Macaca mulatta: one gene and its partners. The protein of the gene in region 3 purifies or fractionates together with the protein of the main gene of each other region. This does not show direct contact. Links are inferred from orthologs where the notes say so. Each region holds a gene or a part of one and is shown on either strand. Other genes may lie near its edges. The genes, in order: PPME1, PPP2CB, PPP2R2A and CDCA4.

Evidence for each region.
Region 1: the proteins of PPP2R2A (region 3) and PPME1 purify together in Homo sapiens (affinity purification with mass spectrometry; 3 studies listed by BioGRID and IntAct, with this or other methods). This does not show direct contact. The link is inferred for Macaca mulatta from reciprocal best matches to the Homo sapiens genes PPP2R2A and PPME1.
Region 2: the proteins of PPP2R2A (region 3) and PPP2CB purify together in Homo sapiens (affinity purification with mass spectrometry; 8 studies listed by BioGRID and IntAct, counting the BioPlex papers as one, with this or other methods). This does not show direct contact. The link is inferred for Macaca mulatta from reciprocal best matches to the Homo sapiens genes PPP2R2A and PPP2CB.
Region 4: the proteins of PPP2R2A (region 3) and CDCA4 purify together in Homo sapiens (affinity purification with mass spectrometry; 4 studies listed by BioGRID and IntAct, with this or other methods). This does not show direct contact. The link is inferred for Macaca mulatta from reciprocal best matches to the Homo sapiens genes PPP2R2A and CDCA4.

What each region holds. Positions count from the first base shown.
Region 1 is NC_133419.1:74,645,017-74,652,221, forward strand, and holds part of PPME1 (protein phosphatase methylesterase 1), read left to right. Parts: intron 1-2,761; coding exon 2,762-2,916; intron 2,917-3,422; coding exon 3,423-3,513; intron 3,514-7,205. UniProt on the Homo sapiens protein: Demethylates proteins that have been reversibly carboxymethylated. Demethylates PPP2CB (in vitro) and PPP2CA. Binding to PPP2CA displaces the manganese ion and inactivates the enzyme.
Region 2 is NC_133413.1:32,579,531-32,586,735, forward strand, and holds part of PPP2CB (serine/threonine-protein phosphatase 2A catalytic subunit beta isoform), read right to left. Parts: intron 6,983-7,205; coding exon 6,809-6,982; intron 3,252-6,808; coding exon 3,162-3,251; intron 3,049-3,161; coding exon 2,887-3,048; intron 496-2,886; coding exon 377-495; intron 1-376.
Region 3 is NC_133413.1:28,109,109-28,116,313, reverse strand, and holds the end of PPP2R2A (serine/threonine-protein phosphatase 2A 55 kDa regulatory subunit B alpha isoform), read right to left. Parts: coding exon 7,118-7,205; intron 3,608-7,117; coding exon 3,328-3,607; 3' UTR 2,607-3,327; downstream 1-2,606. UniProt on the Homo sapiens protein: Substrate-recognition subunit of protein phosphatase 2A (PP2A) that plays a key role in cell cycle by controlling mitosis entry and exit. Involved in chromosome clustering during late mitosis by mediating dephosphorylation of MKI67.
Region 4 is NC_133412.1:178,450,720-178,458,445, forward strand, and holds the start of CDCA4 (cell division cycle-associated protein 4), read right to left. Parts: upstream 4,540-7,726; 5' UTR 3,955-4,539; coding exon 3,673-3,954; intron 1-3,672. UniProt on the Homo sapiens protein: May participate in the regulation of cell proliferation through the E2F/RB pathway. May be involved in molecular regulation of hematopoietic stem cells and progenitor cell lineage commitment and differentiation.

The DNA of each region.
Region 1 (7,205 bases), on a different chromosome or scaffold from region 3:
ACTGAATGCTCTGCTTGATTTTAATAACAATACATTTTTCTTGGTGGTAGATGATCAAGTGATTAATCGTAACTACCTTCTACCTGGGTAAATATGCCTTTCCTAAGCTCAGACACGATGTTCAGTTGGTGTGTTTCAGACCTCTCTACCTTTGTGCATGAGGCGGATACTGCAGAACCCCTTCAATTCAGTTAATGTGTATTTTAAGGAGAATTGGACTTAGATAGTCGTCCATAGCATCCTTTTATTTTACTCATTATTTGTGTGTTAGCAACCGAAAGTTTCTTGGAATTGTTCAAGAATTATTCTGGAAATTACATGTTGATATTTAATATAAACATGTTTTAAACTTTAGTCTTTTCTTTAAAAAAAAAAAAAGTTTGCCCCCAAAATTATATCCAGTGTTGTTTTAGATTAATTGAGGATATAATTTTTTTCTGGTCTGTTATTTTAATATGCAGAATTAGCTTTGGAATACTACCTGTTTTATTTTTTAGAAACTGTATGTATAATAATTTCCTCTGTGTTACTTACTCTAAAGACCACTTTTTTTTTTGCTTTTTTTGTTTTTTTTGAGACTGAGTCTCGCTGTGTCGCCCAGGCTGGAGTGCAGTGGCGCGATCTCGGCTCACTGCAAGCTCCGCCTCCCGGGTTCATGCCATTCTCCTGCCTCAGCCTCCGAGTAGTGGGGACTACAGGCGCCCGCCACCACGCCCGGCTAGTTTTTTGTATTTTTAGTAGAGACGGGGTTTCACCATGTTAGCCAGGATGGTCTCGATCTCCTGACCTTGTGATCCACCCGCCTCGGCCTCCCAAAGTGCTGAGATTACAGGCTTGAGCCACTGCACTGGGCCAAGACCACTTGTATCAAGTCTTTGTTCCTGATATTTTCCAGTGGCCTCTGGGCAAAGGCATTATAGTTTTGACTTCATGAAATTACTCTGAATTCACAATACCCTATGCCAAGGGGAGATGGCTTTACCATTTATACCTGAGGTTGCAATTTTTTGAATTTTTGCAATCAGAACTTGGTGATGACCTTGGGCAGTAGAATATAAATAACTCTCACATGCTTAGTGTTCCAATAGTGCATAAATTGGTTAACCCATTGAAACATTGAAAATATGTAATATGTAGTAAGAAAATGCAGCTCTTTTTACTTGGTAGAAATGCAATAATATATTTACTTGGTAGAAATGCAATAATATATTTATAGACCCAGTGAGATTAATTGATTAATACAGACCCTTCTAGACAGGGCTGCTGAGGGATTACATTAGGTGATGTTATAAGAAAGTTTTATAGCACAACTGAAAAAGAAGCACTGAATAAGTATTAGTTCTCTTTTCTTTCCTTCATATCATTTTGTCTCCCGGAGAGAATTTTGTGTTCGTATAGAAGCAGCACTAGTGTCAAAGAAGCTTGGACTTTTCATCTTAACTATTTGTTATCGCTTTGGATGACTGCCTGAACTGCTTCACTTTCTGTCTTAATCTTAAATTTAAGTCCGAAGGAATATTAAACCATTTGTTTTCACTTACAAAGTTTGGTGGCCTCCCTATCTCCCATTCAGATGGTCTACAATTGCCGAGGCTACCCTATTCACTCCTGCAATTGTTGTATGAGATTTTAAAAATCAATTCCTACAGAACTAATAACATTTGCCTTTGCCATTATGAATACTGTAGAGATTATATATGAAAGTCTGTGTTCCTTCATTGACACTTGCTATATTTGGTTAACACTGTGTGAGTGCGCTTAAGGTATGTAATGACGCTCAGCAAGACAAAACTTTCTTTTGAAGTTGAACCAGCCACTCCCAAAAGAAGGGAGTAGAACTAGCCTAAAATATATATATCTATAATAAGGCAGTAGAGCCAGTGGGTCTCCAGAAACACACCTTACTGTTCTTGTCCACCTATTGCTATAGCAAGGAAGGCCTACATGCAATTAAAAACCAAACTTCATACTTCAGTTCTAATTTTCAAAGCTTTAAAATTGGTCTTTGTCAAACAGATCCATTCATAATTGAAGACTAGAACCAAAGCCAATAAAATGAGCTCTGAACACCTTTCTAGTTTCTCAGAGCACTGTACTTACATTTATGTTGATCCTTCAAACAAATGAGAAATTGTAAATAATAATTAACATTTGTGAAGCATTTTACTCTTTCGAGGTGTTTTTTTGTTCACCTCTCAGTTAATCCTCAAAGCAATCCAGAGCAGTCAGTGATATTTTTCTCTTTTTTTATAAATGTTGAAACTCAGTTTCTGAGAGATTAAGTAACTAATCCAAGATCACATAGTGAAAAATAAACTGAGGCTGGGGCTCATCTTGTGATCTCGAGGTTTACTACATTATAATGCTTAATAAATTTTTTTTCTTGTTTTATAGATGGGAAAATTGAAACAGAGCAGTTAAATGATTTTTCCAGAGTTTGAATCTTAGGTTCAAAATAAAGGTATATGTTTACGTAATTGTACTACATATGTGGAACAGTGAAAGTGTGATGTAAAGGAAAATTCAGTAATTTGGGTTCTTAGTCCTTTACCTGCCATTTATCAGGAGAGCTAGGTGTGTGGCTACACATATTGATACTGGGGGCATGTTAGAAGGTTTACATAGGTATGTTTGTAAGATGGCCCAATAGACTTTTACAGTTTCCCAGAACTGTTACACACCAAAGGAAGGAACTGGGAAAGAAAACCGTTTTTATAGTGTTGTCCGAAAGCATTCTTATGTATTTTTCTTCTCTTTACAGAGATGTTGGCAATGTGGTTGAAGCCATGTATGGGGACCTTCCTCCTCCAATTATGCTGATTGGACATAGCATGGGTGGTGCTATTGCAGTCCACACAGCATCATCCAACCTGGTACCAAGCCTCTTGGGTCTGTGCATGATTGATGTTGTAGAAGGTGAGTTTTCTTAGCACGGACCAAATCAGGATTTCACTTAATAAGAGACATCCATGGTAGATTATTACCTTGTCTTAGTTTATTGTTGATTTCATTCACCTTGAAATATGTCCCTCTGTCTTTACATCCTTTTTAAGTTTATACAAGATAACCGTTTTTCCATGTCATCAGAAACTCTTCATTAACATATTTTTATGACTGCATACTATTTCAATCCTATGTATGTTCCATAATTGTATTTAATCATATAAAAAGAAGCTGCCATGTCTTTTCTGACCGAGCTTCAGAAGTCACACTGCTGCTTGTGAATATAAGTCATCCTCTTCAGTGTGAGGGCATGACATAAAGGAGTGAATACCCCAGAGGCAAAAATTATTGAGGGCCATGTTTATTTCTCTGCAAGCATCACTAAATTCTGCTGTCATCAAGAGCAGATATATAGTAATTGACTCAGTGAGTGTAAATGCTCAGAAAATATGTGGTTACAGTTTTTGTTTAACATCCAGGTACAGCTATGGATGCACTTAATAGCATGCAGAATTTCTTACGGGGTCGTCCTAAAACCTTCAAGTCTCTGGAGAATGCTATTGAATGGAGGTAACCAACAAATCTTTGTCACCTTTATTTAATTAATTTGTTTGTTTGCTTGCTTATTTACTTATTTATTTATTTATTTAGGAGACAAGGCCTCACTCTATCACCCAGGCTGGAGTGCAGTAGCATGATCCTAGCTCACTGCAACCTTGAACTCCTGGGTTCAAGCAATCCTCCCACCTCAGCCTCCCAATTTGCTAAGACTACAGGTGCACACCACCAAGCCTGGCTAATTTTTAAATTTTTTGTAGAAACGAGGTCTTGCTATGTTGCCCAGGCTGGCTTCAAGTAATCCTCTTGCTTTAGCCTGGCCTCAAGTAATCAAGTAATCAAATTCCTGGCCTCAAGTAATCCTCCTGCTTTAGCTTCCCAAAGTGTTGGGGTTACAGGCATGAGCCACAGTGCCCAGCCACTGTTGCCTTTATTCTAAATGTTAGATTGTAGCTTTTCTTCTTTTTTAGGTCAAGCGCCAAGTTCGAGGAATAGAATTTCAGTTGCCATGCTTTATTGTAATAACATATGAGGAAACATTATATAAACAGCAGAATTTTTTTGAATATTTAAAAATATTTTAGATTTGGCTCAGTTGTCTGAAGCCCATTCTTTTCCCAATACACTGTAGTGCCTCCTGGAATCTTAGTAATTATTGATCATCTGCTGGGTCTAGCTGTTTCTGCCTCTGAGGTGAGAGGTTAGACTAGGTGGTTTCTAAGGCCTCATCCACCTCTGACGCTCCATGGTTTTAGATTTACTTGCTGTGTTTCAGATAAAATGGTGGAGAAATGGAAGATGGCTATAGGTTCCATTCCCTCACGTTTATTTGGATTTTGGGTAAATAAACTCAATGGGTAGTTTTTATAAAAATCAGTGTCAGAATTCCATTTAAGCAAAGGAATGAATTTATTCATTAATTCAGTTAATCATTTGATAAAGTATTTATTAAACACTTATTTTGTGCTAACAGGTGAAGATTCAGAGAGGAATAAAACACTATCCCTTCCCACAAGGAGATCAGTCTTTGGATAAATGTCTTCATCATCCTATCTTCCTTCCTATTCTTCTAACTCTATCTCCAGTCCCTTCTTCAGAACATTTTCTCTTAAGTTCTCCAAACCACCCAGATGACTCTTTCAGCAAAATTACTAGAGACCTTTAAGTCTCTATTATATTGCACTGTATACCCTTAAGTTTTCCAATCCTCCCTTGAGGGATATGGCTCATATTAATTTTTATTAATGTCTGTCTTAATGCCCTTCCTGCATCATAAGGGAAGAAGCTATTCTGTATTTCTTTTTTACTTTCATATAGCATATGGCAGACTGCCCTAGCAGGCAGAATATATCTGTTAACTGAATCAGATATCAAGTGGAAATTTAGGACTTGGTAAATATATCCTAGGAGTTTTCCTAGGACAAAGGGTCTTATGCAAGAATATGGCTTGTCAGAATGATGTTTGTGTTTGGTGAAGTTGTTTTTACCACTTCCTGTTCACTACTGTGATGCAGGATTCCTGTTCTTGCGGAAATATCAAAGATCTCTCTATCTTGGGCAGACAGCATCAAGAATGTAGCTGCTGCCAGCTTGGCTTGTACCTCAGGTGCCCTGCCTGCTTCCACAATAACAACCAGTGAGAAAGTTATTCTAGAGTTGGCTCAGTTGTCTAAAGCCCATCTCTCTTTTATCCATACTTTTTTTTTTTTTTTTGAGACCGGGTGTCACTCTGTTGTCCAGGCTGGCGTCCTGTGGCGTGATTACAGCTCTCACTGCAGCCTTGACATTCTGGGCTCAAGCGATCCTCCTGCCTCAGCCACCCAAGTAGCTGGGACTACAGATGTGCACCACGACGCCCAGCTAATTTTTGTTTTTTGGGTTTTTTTTTTTTTTGTAGCAACAGGGTTTTATCATGTTGGCCAGGCTGGTCTTGAACTCCTGGACTCAAGCAGTCTGCCCGCCTGCCTCGGCCTCTCAAAGTCATGGGATTATAGGTATGAGCCACTGCATCTGGCCGTTTCCAAACTTTAAAATTTATTCGGTAAATTTTTTTTTCTAGTGCCTAAGATGTGTCAGTACCTGATCTAAGAACTGGGGGATGAATCAGGCTCAGTTCCTATCATCAAAAAACTGGGGATGCAAACAAGGAGATGGATAAACACAACACAACGAAGGAAGCCAGGGGATATAGAAGAAGGGTACCTCATGCAGCCTGGGTATCATGGTAGGCCTTCTCTTAAGGTAGAGTCTTGTTTCTTTTGCCAGATACAGGATAGCATAAGGGTTCTGTTTGTTAAATGTTAAGATACTGGGTTTCATGAGAGTCATTGATTTTTCTGAACCTGAAAATTGTTATACTATGAGGTATTTGGTAATTTTGTTTTTTATTCTGCTGGATATCTGAATCAGGTTTATGACCGATGGCCATTTTGGCTATTCCAGATTTTTTTTATGTTGCGATATAAAGCCAGTTAATTACTGCTTTTGCTCTCATAGGTTTCCTAATGAGAGGCAGCAGGGGTATAGTCATTAAGAACCTGGGCTTTAGGCCAGATGTGGTGGCTCACACCTGTACTCCCAGTGCTTTTGGAGGTTGAGATAGGAATATCACTTGAGGCCAGGAGTTTGAGACCAGCCTGGGCCATATAGTGAGACCCTGTCTCTACAAAAAAAAAAAAAAAAAAAAAATTTTTTTTTTAATTAGCCGGGTGTGGTGGCATGTGCCTGTAGTCCCAGCTACTCAGGAGGCTGAGGTGGGAGTATTATTTGAGCCCAGAAGTTCAAGGTTACAGTGAGCTATGATGATGGTACTGCACTTTAGCTTTAACAACAAAGTGAGACCTTGTCTTGAAACAAAACAAAAAAGTTAGGGGAAACCTGGGCTTTGAGGTCAGACAGATACAAATTTGCATCTTGGTTACACCACTCTGGCTGTTCTGAGGAAAATCGAATAGAAGAAGAAGTGGGGAATAAGGTATGAAGTTGGTTAGGAGACTGTTGTAGTATAGGAGAGTAAGAATGGTAAACATAGACTAGGATGGCAACAGAGGAAGAAAGAGTCATTTTTTAATGTATTTTCAAGGTAAAGCTGACAGGACTGGTTTATGGATTGGCTGTTGGGAGAGAGACGGGGGAGGGCAGGAAGGGACTTAAGGATGACTTCTAGGTTTTTAGCCCAAGCAATTGGATGAATGGTAGAAACAGAAAGAAGTAGATATGGGAGCAAATAAGGGGCAGATAATCAGTTTTGTTTGGATAAACTCAAATGCTTATTACATATGTAAGTGGAAATGTTAAGTAGGCAATTGTATATACTAGTTAGAAGATTAGAAGAGGCTGAACTAGAGATAAATTGGAGAATCGTCATCACATAGTTAATATTTAAAGGTGAAAGATTGAATGTGAAGACCTAGGAACTTGATATTGATAGGAAAAAGATCCCAGACTGAGTCTTGGGATATTCCACAATATTTAGAGCTTGGGAGGAAGAGGAAGATCCAACAAAGAAACTGAAGAGGCACAGTTGATGAGGTAAAAGGAAAACCAGGTGAGTATAGCAAGTGTTTGTAGAAGGAGGGAGAGAACAACTGTGTCAGATGCTGCAGAGAGATTAAGTAAGATGAGGACCAAGAAATGACTGTTGGAATTGGCATGATAGAAGTGACCTTGACAAAATAAATATCTGAAAATAAATGGGAGATAAA
Region 2 (7,205 bases), about 4.5 Mb from region 3:
GGGAATCCCTTGGCCTCCTGACTGTACCAACCCAGACTACAGCGCCTGTAGTCGTTTCTGTGAGAGGGATCTGGAAGGAGTTGGAGGGAGCAAGTCATAGCTCAAATGCCACAGACAACGGCTATTATTGAGATTTAGTAGGTTTTCTTGAATTAACTGTTTATCCATCTGCTGTATGCCCTTAGGAGAATTTCCAAAAGCTTTGAAAAATTATTTTTTAAAAGTAATGTTCTCCAGCTAATGGTGGTTTTTGCTGGTTGGGGGCTTTGCTATACTCCTCATCCCACTATTTCAGAAACACAAATCTTCTATTTTTAACATTTAAAATTTTCCTTCTGAAAGTAAGTATATACAATTAAAATTTACAGTTACTCACAAGGAATATTTTAAAGTGTCATCTAATTCCATGATAGCAGCCTGGTTCCCACAACGGTAACAGTAATTGGGTGCACTGAAAATAGTAACCACATTCCGATCATGACACCAATTGTATCCCTGCAGGATAAAAACAAATTCAATATTTCATTATAATAATATGATTTTGACACAGATACATTAAAAAAAAACTAAACTCAAAAACTACAGGCACTCTCTGTGGAAATGTAGTCGTCTATATTACTTTATAAGGTTGCCATCTTTGATAGTTTGTGTACCTGTACAGAACCCTGTGCAATTCGTGGGCCTAGGATTCTGTTAAATGCAGCTCGCTAATTGTTGTTTTGCCTTAACTATGCTTGAAATCTTGGCAAGGATGTGTACTGAATTTCTCCCACAATCCTAATAAATCTCTCAATTTTCCCTCATGAATTATGCCAATTATTCTTTATATATTTTGAAGCTATTACTACGTAAATACAAATTTAGAATACTTTCTTCCTAGAGAACTGGGACAGATTTCATCAATAACCTCTTTATTTCTAACAACACCTTTTATTTGAGCCTATCTCATTCATATTATTGGCTATAATTAGTATTAGATATAGTGTGTATATATATACATGCTAATTAGTGTTACGTGTGTGTATACATATACATGTATGTGTATATGTATACACATACACACACACACACGTGTTGCTCAGGCTGGAGTGCAGTAACATGATCTAGGCTCACTGCAACCTCCGCCTCCTGGGTTCAAGCAATTCTCCTGCCTCAGCCCCCTGAGTAGCTGGGACAACAGGTGCACGCCACCACACCAGTCTATTTTTTTGTATTTTAGTAGAGACGGGATCTCACTATGTTGCCCAGGCTGGTCTTGAACTCCTGAGCTCCAGCAATCCGCCTGCCTCAGCCTCCCAAAGTGCTGGGAATACAGGCACGAGCCACCGCGCCAGCCTATTAGCTATATTTTTGATATTTTTATTACTTGATATACCAATATACCATTTCCCAACTCTTACCTCTAGTTTGTAGTGTCTTTTTTTTTTTTTTCCCCCCTCTTTTTTTTGAGAGAAGGTCTCACTCTTTTGCCCAGGCTGGAGTGCAGTGGTATGATCACAGCTCACTGCAGCCTCAACCTCCTGGCTTCAAGTTATCCTCTCACCTCAGCCTCCCGAGTAGCTGGGACAATAGACATATGCCACCATGCCCAGCTAATTTTTTGACTTTTTTTTTTTTTTATAGAGATGAGGTCTCACTATGTTGCCCAAGGTGGTCTGAAACTCCAGGACTCAAGAGATCCTCCCACCTCAGCCTCCCAAAGTGCTGGGATTACAGGCATGAGCCACTTTGTCCAGCCAGTCATTTATGTTTTAGGTACATCCCAAATAACAGCTACATTTTGACTATTTATCCAATCTAAGAGTCTCAGGCTAAAATTTTAGTCTGTTTCTTATAATCACTGATATAATTAAATTTATTTTTTCTATATAAATTTGTGTTTTTTTATCATGCTCCCTTGTCTCTACTGGGCTGGTGAAGTTTTCTCTAACATCTTGAAGCCACTCCCTACTGGTCTGGAGGGATTATGTTGTTTATATTCCCTTAGTAGTTGTAAAACAGTTAACATTATAGTGGAGAAATCTGGCAGACATCATCTTAACTAAGTGATTAAAGTTGCCACCACCAGCATTGAGACAAGCAGATTTTAGGACCACTTGATAAAATGCACGGAGGAGGACACACCATCTTTCTACGGCATGACTGCCAAAAATGCATACAGTGAATCCCTAACTGCAAGGAAAACATCAAACCCCAACTGAGGGATATTTCTGTAAGATAAAATGCTCCTACTCTTCCAAAATGTCAAGAATGTGGAAAACAAAGAAAATCGGAGGATTTCCACATCAAAGAAGAATGAACACAACCTAATCTTTGGATTAGATTATACACATACAGTATGCACAAAATTAAATTTTGCTATAAAAGACATTAGTGAGACAATTAGTAAAATTTGAATAAAGTGTTCATATTAAATAATAGTACTATATGAACACAAATTTCGCAACTGTGGTAACTATACGGTGGTTATGTGATAGCGTGTCCTTAATTTTACAAAATACACATAGAAAGTTGGTAGTAAAGGAGTATTTGTCTGCAATAGATTTCAAATGGTTCAGAAGAAAGTGTGGGGGGTGAAGAGGAAGGGAGACACAAAATGATAAAGCAAATATAGTAAAACATTTACAGTCAGGAATTTGAATGACTCATACAGGGAATTCTGGGGTATTATTTTTGTAACTTTTTTCTAAGTCTCAATTTCAAAAATGAGTTATAATTCTGCTCCGGTCTACTAGTGCTTTCCCTACTTGCTAAAACCAGCAAGTTTTTCCTCTTTTCACCTAGGTAATAAATGGTGAGGAGTGTTTCTTAGTTAAGTCAAAATGCCTTATTACAGAAGTATATGCTAATCTGAAATAAAGATCATTCTGTAAGGAAAGTACATACCTCCATTACAAGCTGGTGGGCACGAGAAACCAGTGTGAGACCATTGGCGTGGTTAAAGGTTTCAGAAATGTCTTGTCCAAATGTGTAGCCAGCACCACGTGGTGAAATACCCCATCCACCACGATCATCTGGATCTGACCATAACAGATCACACATTGGGCCCTGACCAAGAAAAATAAGTACATGTTACAAATTATTATCAGTCATACTTTATCGTCCTCAAAATGTGGTTATATTTTCTTTTCCTTTCTTCTTCTTTTTTAAACTAAGGTTACCTCATGTGGAACTTCCTGTAAGCGATCCAGGGCTCTTATATGATCCAGTGTGTCTATGGATGGAGAGAGGCCACCATGGAGGCAGAATATCTGTTTATGAATTAACAAAAGAGAATGTATTTGTTTTACTAACTGCTAACAGTTAACAAAGAGTAAATAATGGTTAAAAGTGTCAGTCCAAATAATGCCAACATTTAAACACATTTTGTTCATCTTTTTTTCTTTTTTACCCCTTCTCTGGTCAATGGTATCCCCAACCTTGGGGACCCACCATTAAATTTCTTTTTTTTTTTTTCCCTCCCTCCCACCGTTCCTCCCTTCCTTTTCTCTGGCCAATGGTATCTCCATCCTTGGGACCTACCATTAAATTTCTTTTTTTTTTTTCTCCCTTCCTCCTTCCCTCCTTTCTTCTCTTTCTGTAGAGATGGAGTCTTGCTGTGTTGCTGAGGATGGAGTGCGGTGGCTATTCACAGGCATGATCACTATGCAATGCAGCCATGAACTCCTGGGCCCAAGCAATCCTCCCGCCTCAACCTCCTGAGAAGCTGCGATTACAGGTGCATGCCACTGTACCCAGTTGTCATTACAGCTTCTGTTGGTTATTGCTGATATACACAATTTTTTGTTCCTCTTACAACAAATTCCTGTTACTGGCTACAATAAATTTTCAGTTCTTTCATATTTTCTAAGTACATGATCAAGTCATCTGCAAAAATATTTTTGGTTTTTCTTCTCAATGTTTACACCTTTTAATTCTTTTTATTGCTTAGTGCATTGGCCAGGACTTCTAAAATAAAATGGAGTAATACAAATGTTTCTGTTTTGTTTTTTGTAAACTACCTAGTTTCAAATCCATGCTCTAGGTATTCTGAATCAGAGAGAATAATATAAGTTTTAACAAGCATTTTCTTTCTGATTTTGATTTTTTTTTTTGAGACGGAGTTTTGCTCTTGTTGCCCAGTGCAATGGCATGATCTCGGCTCACTGCAACCTCCACCTTCTGGGTTCAAGTGATTCTCCTGCCTGACCCTCCCGAGTAGCTGGGTTTACAGGCATGTGCCACCATGCCTGGCTTTGTATTTTTAGTAGAGACGGAATTTCTCCATGTTGGTCAGGCTGGTCTTGAACTCCCGACCTCAGGTGATCCATCCGCCCTGGCGTCCCAAAGTGCTGGGATTACAGGCGTGAGCTACCTCACCTGGCCTGATGAGAAGGTTTCTAATGTTTAGCTGATAGTACAACCAGTATTTCTTTATCCACTTAATATTATTATTTTATAAAATAACTGAGTTTTGAATCACAAATATAGGAATTTTTTTTCCAAATGATTTTGGTCTATTTTTCTGTGCATGCCACGTCTGGTTTGGCACTGAGGTTATACTAGGCATATGGTGTCAGTTTTGAACTCTCCATCTTTTCCCAAGTTCTAGAACACAGAAATTATACGTTCCTTAAAGGTGTGGTAGAATTAGCCTATAAAACTATTTATACCTGGTTGCTATTGGTAGTTTACTTATATTGGACGAACTTCTGCAAGCCAATTTTAATAACTGGTATTTTAATATAGTAAGCTTCATTCAACTTTTTAAATTTAGTGCACTAAAGCTGCACCTGTTCTTGTGATACACAAGCTCCTGCACAGTTATAATTACGCCTTATTTCATTCCTAGTGTTTTATGTGCCTTCCCTCTTTTCTTCTAGATCAGTATTGTCCACTATTATTTCTTTTCTAGTAACTTTTCAGAAAGAGAGGAAGGAGGAAGGAAAAAAAAAATAAAAGCTCTACTAACGCACCCATTTAAAAAACCAGATACTTCATTAAAACTGATAAGACTGTCTTTTAAAAATCATTCTGTCCAGCAATTTTATTATTGAGGACTGTGTGCTTCAAAACAATTAAAAACAACTTTAATTAAAATTTAACATCTTTTAAATTCACATTTTCTTTTAACAAGTCCAGGCAAAGTATTGTCCTTTCAAATTAATCATGGCAGTGTCCAAAATCACAGCTGAGAAAAAAAGACTGTCAGGATTACACAGAGAAAGTTATAACCAAATTATATTCCCACAAGCAGTCTAAGAGAGAATTCATCACATTCTTGACAACTCTGGGCTTTTATAATTTAAGAATTATGGAGTTTTATTATATGTTTTATATTTATATTTATTTTATTTTTTGAGATGGAGTCTCACTTTGTCACCCAAGCTGGAGTGCTGTGATACGATCTCGGTTCACTGCCACCTCTGTCTTTCTCAGGTTCAAGTGATTCTCCTGCCTCAGCCTCTCAAGTAGCTGGGACTACAGGCATGCACTACCATCCCTGGCTAATTTTTGTATTTTTAGTAGAGACGGGTTTCACCATTTGGCCAGGCTGGTCTTGAACTCCCAACCTCAGGTGATCTACCCACCTCGGCCTCCCAAAGTGCTGGGATTATAGGTATGAGCCACCTTGCCCAGCCTTTGTTTTATATTTAAATTTAAATCAGTTCATGCTTTCAGTGATTATCTCTAGAAATTGAAATAGGAAATTTGCATAATTTCTTCTTATACTTTTGAATGTTTCATGATCTGTCTGCACTGCAGAAATAGCATTTGCTTCTATTTTCTTTTTTTGTTCTTTGAGATGGAGTTTTGCTGCTGCCCAGGCTGGAGCACAGTACTGTGATCACGGCTCACTGCAGCCTTAACTTCCTGGGCTCAAGAGATCCTCTCACCTCTAGCTTCTTGAGTAGCTAGAACCACAAGCATGCGCCACTATGCCTAGCTAATTTTAAATTTTTTTTTGTAGAGACAGGGTCTCACTACATTGCCCAGGCTGGTCTTGAACCCCTGAACTCAAGCGATCCTCTTGCCTTGGCATCCCAAAGTACTAGCCACTGTGCCCAGCCAAGCATTCACTTCTCAGGGAAGAAGGTGTAATACACAATATAACATTTGCAATTACCATGAAAATAGAAATGCGAAGTTATTCATGGTAACCAGCAAAAACTGTGTGTATACGCAGAGATAGTTTTAAATAACATCTTGCTTTACTAGTACTACACATCAGTGTCTTAAGCATTTATTTATAATGTTTATCGATATCTTAAAAAGCACAGCATATTCTTTGGTCAAAAGATTTACATACATATCTGAGAACAGGAAAATTTGCTGGTCCAAATGTACGTGAAACTTATCCACTTCCCTGCTTTGAAATTTTAAGTATAAGGGAAGGGGCCGGGCGCGGTGGCTCACGCCTGTAATCCCAGCACTTTGGGAGGCCAAGGCGGGCGGATCACAAGGTCAGGAGATCGAGACCACGGTGAAACCCCGTCTCTACTAAAAAAAAAAAAAACAAAAAATTAGCCGGGCGCGGTTGTGGGCGCCTGTAGTCCCAGCTACTCGGGAGGCTGAGGCAGGAGAATGGCGTGAACCCGGGAGGCGGAGCTTGCAGTGAGCCGAGATCGCGCCACTGCACTCCAGCCTGGGCGACAGAGCGAGACTCCGTCTCAAAAAAAAAAAAAAAAAAAAGTATAAGGGAAGGAGGAAAAGGCCAAGGAGATGCAGAAACACAGGTCATATGAATCTAGACCCTAGCTTACCAATAGTCAATCTTTGCCTTCATTTACCTCCCCTCCTCCCAAGATGTGAGCACACACATACATACCTGTCCATCTACTAAAGCTGTAAGTGGAAGATAATCAAAAAGATCTGTAAAATATTTCCAAACGTTGGCATTCCCATACTTTCGCAGACATTCATCATAAAAGCCATATACTTGGGTAATTTGTCGGCTTTCGTGATTTCCTCTCAATATTGTAATGCGTTCTGGATAACGCACCTGGAAGAAATGGAGTAAAACCCATAGTAAAATCCCATTTTTACTAGTGTCATGTGAAGTACATTAGTCTCCGACCCATTGTTAAACACGGCGCTTTTGGCCACCAGTATATTAAATGTTAATTTCATTTTCGAAATAAAAAATCTTGCTTATTCATAACCAGGTATTACTGGTTAACATTTGACATGTTTATTATAATCATCCTTTTTCATCATGTTTTGAC
Region 3 (7,205 bases):
CAAGGCTTTTTTGGGGGGAAGAGGAGGTGCGTCAAACCCCCTTTTTAACCACAGTAAGACATACATGCAGAGCTTAAACTATCACCATCTGAACCGATAAGATACCAAAATACAGGTGCTCTCAAATGCACAAGTAAACTGACTTGATTCTTGACTACACTGCATATGCCTATCTTTTCCATCTTTTGGGCAGGGGGAGATGGGTTTGTTCTTCTGGAAGTGCACAATACTATCTACATTTGAATTTATGTGTGGTAAAGATGCTCAAGCAATATTCCCTTAGAAGGGTTTAAGTATCACTAAAAATTCTTTATCAGTACTGCATAGCTTTCCTATGTGCAATTTCTTAACACCTTACTCAAAAAATAGTCACACACTGAATCAAAGAAGCTGCTTTCCTATCTCTGGCTTTCTGTAGACATTTCTCTAACCAGCATAACTCACATTTAAGGCTTTAAAATTCTCTTCATTTTGAAAAGAGTGCATGGATGTATTTTTGAGACGGTGTCTTGTTGTGTCGCCCAGGCTGGAGTGCAGTCGCGCAATCCCGGCTCACTGTAACCTCCGCCTCCCGGGTTCAAGCCAATTCTCCTGCCTCACCTTCCGGAGTAGCTGGGATTAGACACGTGCTACCATCTGGCTGATTTTTTATATTTTTAGTAGAGACAGGGTTTCACCATGTTGGCCAGGCTGGTCTCGAACTCCTGACCTTAGGTGATTCACCCACCTTGGCCTCCCAAAGTGTTGGGATTACAGGCGTGAGCCACCGCGCCAGACTGGACGCATTTTTTTTTTTTTTTTCTTAAATCCCAAGAGACAGAGGGCTGCACAGAAGCTTACCATCCAGCAGTTAATGGTTGCATAAACATGTATTTAGATAGGTTTATAAAATAATTCTTCTTCTTGCCCAGCCACTAAGTAAAGATCGAAAGAGGTTAATAGAATGAAAGTCCTTTTCCTACCACAATCTCTTCTAAAAGGTTAAGAGATGGAGTATGTGCATGTATTAGTGGCAAGAGAATAGGAAATACAAGCAACTTGACAAGACTAAGTTTATTCTAAGTATAATTTTTATTAATAAAAAGATTAACCATGGCCATGTAAAATGAGTGGCTGGGCTTAGAGTTTGCTACACCAATGAGATTAAAAAATTAATACTTGAGAATGTTAACAATAATTTATAATAGCATTCCTTGATAGAGGCATTTTAATTTTAGCAATTATTTCTCTTAAATATATAAACTAATCCTTAGTGTCATGGAGGAGAATCATCATAGCTACTGATCAATCAAAAAAGAATTTGAGAGCTGTTTAGTGGTGTTATCTCAAGACATACAACCAAACTGTAGGAAAATCTCCCAAAAAAGATCTGGAAAACTGTCCAGTCACAACACAGGAAGTCTATCACTGTCGGACACTTGTGACAGGGGAATATCCCACTTCCAAGTCAAGTGTGAAGAATAAATAACACAAATTAAGAATGTACCCAAGATCCCCAAATAAATTAGTAAAAGTGCCATTAAGAATTATCAGACATAGAATGTGTTCAAATACAAATTTGTTAAATCCAAGAGATACAGTAATTTTATTACATAAAATTTCTCCTGTGTGCTAAAAATGCTAACTTACAAGACATAATATTTGTAATAGAGGGAATCACGGTCGGCTCGTTGAATTCTTTTTCATTACTGAAGAATAGAACAATAGGTAGTGGACATAGAAGCACTCAGAGTCCTCTGAAATTCAAGGTTGTTACATTACGTTCAACCAAAATAAAACTACCATTCTCTAATAATATAAATGCCTGTTCATTTCACCTTTCAAAAATAAAGTCCATTTCTTCTCCATTAAAGCTTCTGCAAGACTGACAAAGGTACATTCTACCTATTAAAAATAGGAGCACTCTTCATCTTTGGATAATGTATCACTGCTTAGGGAAAATGTACTCATATACAGATTTTTGAGGCAGCTGTTGGAGTTCATTAAGCACTTTTTGAATGCTGTACCTTTAAAAATTTGTCTTTAATATAGCTTTGGAAAACCAAAAATAGAAGAAAAATATCTATGGTAAAGTATATTTCATTCTGATTTGATAGCAGTAAAATACAAAAAAAGTATTTAGTGCATTGTCGTCACTTGATGTTAGTTTTCTGCTATTTTATATGACTGAATGACAAAAAAAGTTCTAACTTGTTAAAAATGTTGTATAAGTCTTTGACTAGTAAGGCAAAAATGAAATTAAGCACTGTAAAAAGTAGAAATTAAGTTCTACAAATTTGGTTCCCATTTACAACAATTTCATTAACAGATAATGAGTTAAATAGAGATACAACGTATCCAATACCCTCATGATGACGGTAAATAGAAAAAAAACAACTAGTAGCATTTATAGATTGTGAAATCCTTAATAAAACCAATATATATTCAAAACATGTTCATAGAGAACCAATACCTCTCCTCCTGCATGTAAAAGAACACTTGTTAAAAATAATTAACAAAAATACCAATAAAACAATGAAAACCCATTTTGTTTCACTGTGCCCAAAGGTATGACACAAAATATTGGCTACAAGAGGTAGGTTAAAAAGAAAAAGAAAACCAGATTCTCCATTCTTTGTCACTTTTATTCAGTAGTAGGTTTTTTTTTTCCTTATTTTCAGTGCCAGACACGGCGAGGAGTGATTACAGCCAACTGTTATTAAAACATTTGTTCGCAACATATACCCCCTTTATACCACTGACCCCAAACTGACTCATTTTGTGTGCTTTCATTCTTTCTTTTTTTAATATACCACCACCAAGACCGGGTGGAGGGGGCAAGGGTAAGAGAGATGAAGGGGAGGAGTCCAGGAGGCCAGAAGAGGAGGAATGCTACAAGCCACAGTAAGAATGAGCTGTATTTAATTTAAAAAAAGGGGGAAGGGGTGTACCCCACAAATGATACAGTAATGAGGATACACAATTAAATCCCATAGCATGACTGAAGGCTTTCACTGTGTTTGACGTCATCACAATGGAAGGCATAAAAAGTGGAGTAAATCAATGTTGATACAGTCCAATCTAGTCCATTAGGCAAGATGGTGCAAGAAGTCATTTAAATTAAAAGTGCCCTACCCTTACCTAAATGGCTAGCAGACATGGAGAACACCACAGTGATGAATCCACAGAGCTTTCTCCATGTAGCTATAACAATGTGTTGTCGAATGGCACACTGTCAAACACTGGAAAGGGGCGCCACAATGGACCTCTCTCTTTTATAGGAACGAATGCTAGATTCAACTATCTCAACTAAGCAGGAAGTGGGTTCTTCTGCTAGGAATGCCAACCCTAATTCACTTTGTCTTGAAATATATACAGATTGTTTGTAGTAGCTACGGCAATGATATTTTCCTTGGGGTGCCAGGCTGTGTGAAGGATTTTCTTATTGAAGTCTAGGCTGTCAACACTTATTTCATCTTTCTTTCGCTTGCCACTTGCACAGACTTTGCGAGGCTTCAGAACCGTGCGAGGCTTATTGTTTTCCCGCGATGCTTCTAGGGTTATGTCTCGCTTTGTGTTTCTGTCAAACATTCTGAAGAAATTATTGTAAGATCCAGTCATGACAACGCTGTGAAAATAGACAGTACACTCAGTCAAACAAGCAGAACAAGAAATTGTTTTTAAGTAAAATGATTCAGTGATTAAACCATAGGAAACAGCTACTTCAAGCAGATTTAAAGTAAGGGACAGGGCTGTTGACATCAACTCAATCACCGGAATAAACCAAAATATGGTACTAATTAACTGAGTTTTCTGCTTATTATTCCTTTTCATGGCTACCAAAACTATCACCGAAGTTGACAGCATCCTCAAGTAAAACTTCTTAGTAGTGCAGAATTATCTTTGTTGAATAGTTTTGCAACTACAGGTTATGTGATCAACCAGGTCAGGCAGCTTCTCAAAGGAGCAACTATCCGTGGAACTCACAGGTTCTAAAATGAAAGAACCCCGCATGAAGTAGCTGTAGCTGTTCACAAGAAACCAATGCTTTATCTTATGATTTACATTTTTTGGGTCAGGCACGGTGGCTCATGCCTGTAATCCCAGCACTTTGGGAGGCCGAGGCCGGCGGATCACGAGGTCAGGAGATTGAGACCATCCTGGCTAACACAGTGAAACCCTGCCTCTACTAAAAATACAAAAAAAGTAGCTGGGCGTGGTGGCGGGTGCCTGTAGTCCCAACTACTCGGGAGGCTGAGGCAGGAGAATGGCATGAACCCGGGAGGCAGAGCTTGCAGTGAGCCGAGATCTCACCACTGCACTCCAGCCTGGGCGACAGAGTAAGACTCCATCTCAAAACAAAACGACGACGACAAAAAAATACAAAAATTAGCCAGGCGTGGTGGCACGTGCCTGTAGTCCCAGCTACTCAGGAGGCTGAGGCCGGGGAATCGTTTGAACCTGGGAGGCGGAGATGCAGTGAGCCAAGATCGCACCACTGCACTCCAGCCTGGGTGAGAGTGAGACACTGTCTCATAAATAAATAAGTAAATAAATAAATAAACAATTATCTTCTCAGGGTGTTGTCTGGTTCAGATAATCACATTTAATAAAGGCTTATAATCTGCTCCTGAGAAGTGGTACATAATATGTGTGTGTGTGTGTGTGTGTGTATATATATATATATATTTTTTGAGACAGGGTTTCACTCTGTCACCCAGTTTGGAATGTGGTGGCACAATCACAGCTCACCGCAACCACAACCTAGACCTCCTGGGCTAAGCAGTCCTTGCACTTTAGTCTCCTGAGTAGCTGTGACTACAGGCATACGCTGCCATGTCCAGATAATTTTTAAATAATTTGTAGAGATAGGGTCTTGCTACATTGCCCAGGCTGTAATATTTTATTAACAGAACATCATTTTACTTTCACCACTAAAAACATTTTAAGCAAATATTTGTAGAAGTATCAGTTTAAAGGGGTGGCAAAATTTTTAAGCTGCCCAAGACACTTCCCTGTCAGTTCTATTTGCCAGCCATTACTGCTCGACATTTATTAAGTATCCTCACAAACAAAACTTCCTAAGTTTGAAGCTCTTAATAATTTGGAAAGGGTCTGCTACCACTGCTTATCACATGGTTCAAATTATTATTGTAAATAAGGATTACAGGATACTGGGGAATTGTTCAAAGTAATACTTACATACAAAGGCCACCTACTGAGTACAAATGATTATCTATTTAGTAACGTCAATTCCCAAAGAACACTTGACGACAACTTTAATCAAACTCAAGGTAATGCATGCCCCTGAACATGATAAAACTGTATTTCTTTAAAAATGGCTCATGTAATTTAGATTGACATCCCCATATCATCTGTGTGTTTTAATGGGTTAGGACATTTAGTCTGTGGCTATTTGAAACTTTAAAAAGGTATCATTAGGTCAGCATTTCTGTGGTATTCCTGCCAAAAATGTATAGCCTGAATCTAATAACGAGGAAACATTCTGTAAAATAATTGGCCTGTGTTCTTCAAAATGCCAAGATCACAAAAGACAAGGAGAGACTGAGGAACTGTTTCAGAATAAAGGAGCCTAACAAGAGATGACAACTAAATGTTGGATACTGAACCAGACTGACTTTGTTCTGTGCCATAAAAGACACAGTTACAGTAACTGGTGAGTTTTAGTGGGTCTGCGGATTAGAGGGCAGTACTGCATCGCTGTGAATGTTGCTTTGGATGCTGCACTATGTTGGGAAGTGTTTTTGTCAGGAAATACTCATTCAAGAATTTAGGGTTATGGGCATCACATCTAGAGTAAACGGGGTATTTTCCCATGTAGCACACAAGTTGTGTGTGTGAGCACGTGCGCATGTACCTATGTGGACAAATATAGCTATAAACAAACAGAGGATAGACCACGTGATACAGCAAACAGCAACAGTGGAACTTGGGTCAAGGCTGGCCAAGAGTTCTTTGTGTTATTCTAACAAATTTTCTCCAAGTTTGAAATAATTTAAAAAAATTTTTTAATATTAAGGAAAACAAATAGTTTCTTTCTGATAATAGAACATACAACTGCTAATAATCTGCTTAAACAATACAAGGAAGAACTAGTTGTAGCTGTGTGCCACACCCTAGTTCAGTATCTCTTTACTCTTCAAATTTGTTAATGTTTTTTTTTTCTTCTTCCTTTTCCTTCTTTCTTCTTCCCTTTCCTTCTTTCTTGATGCCTCAGGTTTAGTAGTGGCACTCAAAGGCAATGTTTGCTACCAATAGAGCTCTACTAGTTTACTAGTAGTAATAGTTTACTAGTCCTCTCATCATGTCAAAAATCAGGTAATTTTAAAAGCCAGACGAAAGAAAGACATTCTGTAAGTTCTATTATCCTTTGTAACACGTAACACCATGAAATCGGAATCATATTAAGCTCTGTGATAAAACTGTTGCTAAAGCATCTCTAATTACTTTAAATGTCAGTTTAATTCCAAAAATTATGTTTTACTACTTTATGTTCTACTGGAACATAGTGGCAAATAGACAACTAAAAGACTCAAAGACTTACTTTATCTTTAAATAACGGTAACATTTTACTAAAAATGTATACTAAAAAGGAATTACACTACAGCAAAACTGGAAATTACAAAAAGCAAAGGAAAACTACTCCTAATATTTTAACCATATATATTATGGTTAACATCATACATAACATACATATGAAAGACCACTTCTATGAGGTGTTAATGTAGCATCTGGAAAACCTGGTGTCTCTAACAATTCAAATGAATTATCTGCCGCCCGAATGTTTCTAAAACAGTTTAATGGCAGAATAACAACCAAGCTGAAGCTTCACGGTTTTAATGGTTAGCATGTCAGAAATGTGATCTGGTTCATGTAAGAAAAAAAATTCTAGACGTTTAAATAATTTAGATTACCTAGAATTTGTGTACTTTTATATTTAATAGTGAAATACAATGCTTAATTTTTATCTGCCAGTACTGCCGTGCTATATCTAAGATTAGTAAATGTATTTCAAGGAATCCCTAGAGACAAATGAAGTTAGGACCTGGAATGAAATAATTAAGTTTCTTTTCTTTATAAAATTCATATTTGAGAGGTTTGACTTAAAATCAATTACCTGTCAGATCCATTCCAACAACATTCAAATTTGTCAAATATGCAGTCATTTTCATACAGTGAACAGAGTTTACTTCTGAGGTATTCAT
Region 4 (7,726 bases), on a different chromosome or scaffold from region 3:
CTTGCTTTTCCAAGTCTCTGAGCCCCACAGCTAAGCATTCCTTCCCTCCTCCACTAAGCTCCACCTCTGTGTTCCTATCCTGTTCCACAGCTGCTCTCTGCCAGGGCCAGACACCCTGGCCTCCCTGTGTAGGTCCTTTTCTGGCCATGCCACCCTTCAGCTCTGGGTCAGAACAACAATGTGGCATAAATGGGATCCCACAGCAAGCATCCTTCTGCGGTTGGCTTTTCTCCCTCAGCATAATTCTCCTGAGATCCTTGCAAACTGTCTTGTGTGTCAACAGTTCACAACAGAGTATGATTTGGAGGCACAGACGGAGCCCAGCGTCACCGCGCCCCAGTTGAAGGGGACTTTTTCCTTGTTTCCAGTTTGGAGTTATTACACATAAAGCTACTAAGGACACTCTAGAACATGTTTTTGCATGAACATTGGTTTTTCATTTCTCTTGGAAAAATGCCCAAGAAATAACCGTTTTATAAAATTTAGGAGTGTTAAATGCACAGTCAGTGAGATCTATCACACTGAAAGGAAATTCAGAAAACAGGGAACATTTTTTTCTGTCTATTCAAGGGCAGGACCAGCAGGTGTGAGCCTCCAGAGAGGCTCCTGGGGAGGGGTGGCGGTCCTTGGCCTAGTTTCATCTCTCTCAGTTGTAAGCATTCTTTTTTTTTTTTTTTTTTAAAAGACGGAGTCTCACTCTGTCGCCTGGGCTGGAGTGCAGTGGTGCCATCTCAGCTCACTGCAACCTCCACCTCCCGGGTTCAAGCAATTCTCCTGCCTCAACTTCCCAAGTAGCTAGGATTATAAGGTGTGCACCACCACGCCCAGCTAATTTTGCATTTTAATAGAGACGGGGTTTCGCCATGTTGGCCAGGCTGGTCTCGAACTCCTGACCTCAAGTGATTCGCCCACCTCAGCCTCCCAAAGTGCTGGGATTACAGGCATGAGCCATCACACCCAGCCACAAGCATTCTTTTAAGACTTAAACAGGCCGGGCACAGTGGCTCACGCCTGTAATCTCAGCACTTTGGGAGGCTAAGGTGGGCAGATCACAAGATCAGTAGATTGAGACCATCCTGGTCAACACGATGAAACCCTGTCTCTACTAAAAATACAAAAAATTAGCTGGGTGGGGTGGCACATGCCTGTAGTCCCAGCTACTCAGGAGGCTGAGGCAGGAGAATCGCTTGAACCCGGAAGGCGGAGGTTGCAGTGAGCAGAGATCGCGCCACTGCACTCCAGCCTGGGCGACAGAGTGAGACTCCATCTCAAAAAAAAAAAAAACACTTAAAATAAGTTGAATGCACACGATCTGGCGTATTCTGACAAAGGAATGCAACTCAGCAACAAACCTCAATGATTTATGCAACATGGATAAATTTCAAAACATTATGCTGAATAAAAGCAGCAAGACACACACAAAAATACGTACTGTAGGATTCTATTGATCCGAACCTTCAGGACAGGCAAAGTTAATGGAAGTTGTGAAAACACAGAAGGGTAGCCACCATCCGGGTGGGAAATGCTACAAGGGGCCAGAGGGAATCCTCCAGAATGATGGAGATTCTCTCGCCCCTTGTAGCACTTGCGTAACCCAGGGACCTGCGTAGATGTGCCTGGGTTATATAAGTCCTACAAGGGACGAGAGAGAATCTCCATCATCCTCCACTGCATCTCATCCCATCCACAGATCCCATTCTGGTACCATGAGAATATTCCTGTTCAGTCACTTCAAATCATTGCTGTCCAATGTTCCAAATCTCCAGCAGCTAATTCTGTGTTGTACCCAATATTTTAAAATGCTAACAAGTTTATTACTATTAATACAAAAAGGAGTAAAGCTCACAGGTGTTTTTTACAGTCGCGTGACCCCTAAGAGCTGTCACCCACAACGTGCGTTCAGGGGTGAAGAGGATAAGGTTGGGCCCGGAGAAGCTGGCCTGTGAGGATCACCCTGAATTGGGCCATATCTGTGTTTGGGACAAAGTCACCAAGAGCATCATCTTGACCAGCCCTGAGGGATGCCTGGGCTGGGCCCAGCTCCCTGAGGGCCTCCAGTGTGACTCTGGCCTGAGGCTGCTTAACTCCTTCTAATATGGAAGGAAGGGCCCTATACCATACGGGCGGGGCTGTGGAGCCTAGCTCCCTGCTCAATTTTTTTTTTTTTTAAGAAGGAGTCTCATTCTGTCCCCCAGGCTGGAGTGCAGTGATGCAATCTCAGTTCACTGCAACCTCCACCTCCCAGGTTCAAGCGATTCTCCTGCCTCAGCCTCCTGAGTAGCTGGGACTACAGGCACGTGGCACCACACCTGGCTAATTTTTGTATTTTTTGCAGAGACGGGGTTTCACCATGTTGTCCAGGCTGATCTCCAACTCCTGACCTCAGGCAATCCGACCACCTCAGCCTCCCAAAGTGTTGGATTACAAGTGTGAGCCACCATGCCTGACCCCCTGCTCAGTTTTGAAGCTCCTTCTACACATCTAGTTAAATGCCTAAAATCCCACCAACTCCACAGGGTGTCAACGGGACAGCCAAGGCGTTCACCCCTCAGTCAACTCCCAGCACCGCCCTTAGGCTTCTAAACCAAGCATCAACCAGAAAGAGAAAAACCAAGAGGGTCAGACAGACTGAAGATATGTCTGACATGGCAGGTGGGACAGCCTACAGGCCACTAGGGACAGAGTAAACTAAGCCCACGGAGGCAGAGGCCAGCAGAGAGCAGCCCCGCAGTGCTACTCAGGCAAGCAGAGTACAGCTGAGGGACCGGCCCTTCACTACAGCAGCAGCCGCCACACCTTCGTGGCTGAGCAATCCCATGAGGCTGGCTGAAAATGCAGATTCCCAGATTCTGACCAATAGGGCTGGGACTGCTGGGGACAGACTCAACTCTGACCTAACCTGTCACCTTCACAGCTGGACTTGCAGCCACTTCGAAGTTTCGGGTTAAGCAAATTATCAACAATTTCCATTTCTCACACATCAGATAAGCTTTGAAATACTCTATCGGAAAAACAGGAAGAAGAGGAGCAAGGTCTTCAGTCTTGAGATCTACTGAGTGGGAGCTCCACCTTCCACTACAGTCTGCTGGAGGCTGTTCCTGAACAATTACTGATACGTTAATTTCAGGGGTTATTTTTGTTTTGTTTTGTTTTTGAGACGGAGTCTTGCTCTGTCGTCCAGGCTGGAGAACCTCCGCCTTCCGGGTTCAAGTGATTCTTCTGCCTCAGCCTCCCGTGTAGCTAGGATTACGATTACAGGCATGCGCCATCACGCCCAGCTAATTTTTGTATTTTTAGTAGAGACGGGGTTTCACCATGTTGGCCAGCTGGTCTCGAACTGGGGACCTCAGGTGATCCACCCGCCTAGGCCTCCTCCCAAAGTGCTGGTAAGTGTGAGCTACCGCGCCCAGCTAATTTCAGGTACTTTTGTTACTTGGAACGATACACCTTCCTTTCCCTGAAAACATGTTCCAATGGCAAGTTGAGGGAAACTTCCTGGCCCCTTTTCTAAGATAAAGCCTACCACTCTTCCTAGAAAAAGGGTGTAACTCACTTTGTGTTGATTTCCACCCTAATTATAAAACATGGTGACACTTGAAAATAGAGTGGTTGTACGTAGAAAGTTTATAAAACCTAAGTTTTGGGAACAGGCGATGTTTTTCTGTGGCTCACTTTGAGAGAACGGTTATCTGGGTCCTGCCGTCTCGTGAGTCCCACACGAAGGCCACAGGAGAGGCGAGGCAGCGGAGACCCTCTATTCCAGCAAGCTGTAGGAGCCTTTGTCACGACGATCCTGTTTACTGGACGAGAAGCGTTTGAAAACGCGCAGGGAAGCTTGCCTCTGACTTCTGCAAATGTCTCGGGGACTCTTCCTAATCCCACCTCGGAACGCCGGAGGAGCCCAGGAAAGACGGCGCTGGCCGACCCGCCCGGGGTCTGGGCCTCCTCCCACATCCTCGGCCCTCTCCGCGGCCGGGATCCAATTGAGGGGGCTGCAGCGCGCCCTGGCCCGGTTAGTGAGGTCGGCCGGGGACAGGGCGGGGGCGGCCGTGGCGGGGCGCGCCCGGCGTTCCCTCCGCGGCAACTAGAGCCGAGGTACAGGAAACGCCGCTGCGTACCCCAGCCGGGCCCTCGCGAAGTCGCTCCCGTGTGGGGCCGCCCGGAGGCCTCGACGAAGCCCCAGCTCCGCAATCCGCATGGAACGCAGACGGCGGCCCGGGCCCCTCTGGTTCCCCGGGCCCCCTCAGCAGCGGCCACCCCGCGGTGGAACCAGCGCCCAGGAGGGCGGCGAGGGCGCCCGCGGCAGCCCCAGCGGGAACCCTGAGCGCCGCCTCCGCCCCGGACCCAAGCCAGCGCCAGGAGCCACAGACTCCGCGTACCGCCCCCGGGCTCCTCCGCGCCCGGCAGCACAAACGCGCGCGCCGCCGTAGACGCCCTCGCGGTCAGCCAGACCCGCTCACCTGACCCGCGAGGCCGCCCGCCGGCTCCTCTGCTCAGCCGCCGCCACCGCCGCCGCCGCCGCCGCCACCAGCTTCCCGCCGCTGAGGGAGGAGCGCCCGCCGGCGCGGGGCGGGGCGTGCGACCGCCACTCAGCGTCCACAAAGGGTCGACGCTGCGCCCTCCGCGCGCCGTGCCCACTGATTGGCCACCCACGGACCGGGGGCGGGGCCTCTTGTTCAAACCCGCGCGGGCGGGGCATCTGCGGCGCGTGTTCCCGCGCTGCGGCGACGGCCGTTGGGGCTCGCGCGCGCCCTCGGTCGCCCCGCCCCCGCCTCCGCCTCCGCGCCGGGCCCCGCGACGCCCACGCCGCGCCGGCTCCCAGGTCTCCCCGCGCCCAATCCGGCCCCGCCCAGCCCCGCCGGCTCGCAGGTCTCCGCACGTCGGGTCCTAAACTGAATGCGCCTGCGCTGGGGGCCCACGTGGTGCCCTCGGGAGGGCGTGGCGGGGCAGCCTGGTAGGGGCTGATCCTCTCTCCCTTCTGCCTAGGTTAACTTCTCTGCCGAGGGATCCGTGCCGGGGTGGGGAGGAGCCGGGAACGGCAGTTCCCGGGCGGCCTGGGCTCCGAAGTCTATCCCAGCCTCTCCAGAAACCGCGGTTATCTCTAGAGGCTTCCCAGGTTTACACGTAAGAAATGTAACGTGAAAGTAGAAAGCAGGGAAACACGTGTTTTAAATCTCTTAGTGGAAAAGGTTTTAAATAGGATACAAGAGTCTAATATTCTTTGAACGCCTGCAGCAGGCCCGGCAGGCGTGGCTGCAGCTGAGAACCCTGTGCTGGTGGTGGGGGAATCCTCAGCTGAATCCGCAGATGCGGATGCGCCAAGGTCAGTGGTTAATGCTGAAATGCTGTCGGAAAAAGCTGGGAGTGACGTTGGGGCGCTGCTCACATAGGTCTCTAGGATAAGAGGCGTCTTAAAGCACCAAAAGGAAGAGTGGAAGAGTATTCCAGGAGAGGAATGGCTAGGACAAAGCCCGAGGCAGGGGCAGGAAGAAGTCTCAGTGCAGTGAAAAAGAACCCTGTGATCTCGTGGGAAAGTTTAAATGTGAGAGGTGGAGTGATTTTGAGGCTGTTCTCTGAGTGGGATGGAGACTACTGGGACGGTCAGCAGAGAAGGAACTGGGATCTGAATTATGCTTGAAAAGAATCACTGTTCTTATTTAAAAAAAAAACGGGTTTATTTCGCCCATGCTGGAGGACAGTGGCGTGATAATGGCTCACTGTATCCTCGAACTCTTGTGCTCAAGTGATCCTCACGCCTCAGCTTCCCACGTAGCTGGGACTACAGAAGTGTGTGCCACCACACCAAGCTAACCTTTTTTTTTTTTTTTTTTTTTTTTGGTAATTTTGTAGAGACAGAGTATTGCCTTGTTACACAGGCTGGGCTCCAACTCCTGGCTCCAACTACCTTGGCCTCCCCAAGTTCTGGGATTACAGGCATGAGTCACTACAACCACCAAGAATCACTGTTGGTAGAAGATTTGGAGGAGGCGGCAGGAAGGCTGGAAGTAGAAAATCCTATTAGGTTATTTTCCAGGTAAAAGAAAATGGGACTTGACAAAGGTGACTACCTGAGACTTTAAAGTTTATGCATATCAAAGTGAAAAGACTAATGGGGAAAAAAGGTTTTCCTGGCTGTATCCCACATAAAGGTTAAATTCCTTAATATACAGATATTCTGCAAATGAAATCTAGATCACCAAAGAAAAGTGGTTTGGACATGGTGGCACCCACCTGTAATCCCAGCTACTCAGGAGGCTGGGGTGAGAGAATCCCTTGAACCCGGGAGTTGGAGGCTGCAGTGACCTATGATTGCACCACTGCACTCCAGCCTGGGCAGACAAGAGCAGTGGAAATTAAAGCTGTGCTGGAGTGCCGTTTGCCACAGGTCAAATTGGCAAAGATCTAAAAATAATGTCTGGAGTAAGATAATATCTTCCAGAGCATATTAGTCTATTCTCAGGCTGCTAATAAAGACATACCCGAGGCTGGGTAATTTATAAAGAAAAAGAGGTTTAATGGACTCACAATCATGGCTGAAGACCTAGGAAAAGCAAAGGGACGTCTCACATGGCGGCAGGCAAGAAAGTCTGTGCAGGGATCTCCCCTTTATGAAACCATCAGATCTCAGGAAACGTATTCACTATCCAGAGAACAGAACAGGAAAGATCTGCCCCATGATTCAGTTACCTCCCGCCAGGTCCCTCCCATGACATGGGAGTTATAGGAGCTACAATTCAAGATGAGATTTGGTGTGATATTTCGACATATATATACAAAGTATAATGATCCATCAAGGTAGATAGCGTATCCATCACCTCAAACATCATTTCTTTGTGTTGGGAACATTCAAAATCCTCTCCTCTACCTATTAGAAAATATGCAGTAAGTTACCGTTAACTGTAGTCATAAAATATTAACAGGCTTGCTAGGACATAGGACCAGAAAAAGAAAACATAGAAGCCGTCTATGGTTACACCAGGATTGGAGTCATATTTTTCAGTAACACTAATGTATTCAGGAAAATTGATGACAAGGAGAACTAGAATCCATTAAAAAAAAGACTCAAAGGCCGGGTGCGGTGGCTCACGCCTGTAATCCCAGCACTTTAAGAGGCTGAGGTGGGCGGATCACAAGGTCAGGAGATCGAGACCACGGTGAAACCCCGTCTCTACTAAAAATATAAAAAAAAAATTAGCCGGGCGCAGTGGCGGCCGACTGTAGTCCCAGCTACTCAGGAGGCTGAGGCAGGAGAATGGCGTGAACCCGGGAGGCGGAGTTTGCAGTGAACTGAGATGGCGCCACTGCACTCCAACCTGGGCGACAGAGCAAGACTCCGTCTCAAAAAAAAAAAAAAAGACTCAAATTGAAGAAGCAGCATCAGTCTTACACAGTCTTCCAGGTGATAAAGGGGAACTCTTCTTACCAATTTGTTCTACAGGGCTAACAAATTTGATACTAAAACTCGAAAGGGACGTGATGAGAGAAAACACACAGGCTATTCTCTCTCATGAACACAGTTCAAAATTGCAAACCACATATTAGCAAATCAGATCCAGTGATAATGTGAAAAAGGTAGCTCATCACAACCAAGTTGGGTGTACTCCAGGAATTGGAGTACAGTTGATTTCACATTGCAAGGTCAACATGATTCATAACAGAATTAAGGAGAAAAAAAGTATGAAAATCTCAGTGTAGAAACATCTAGTAAAATTCAATACCCCTTCAT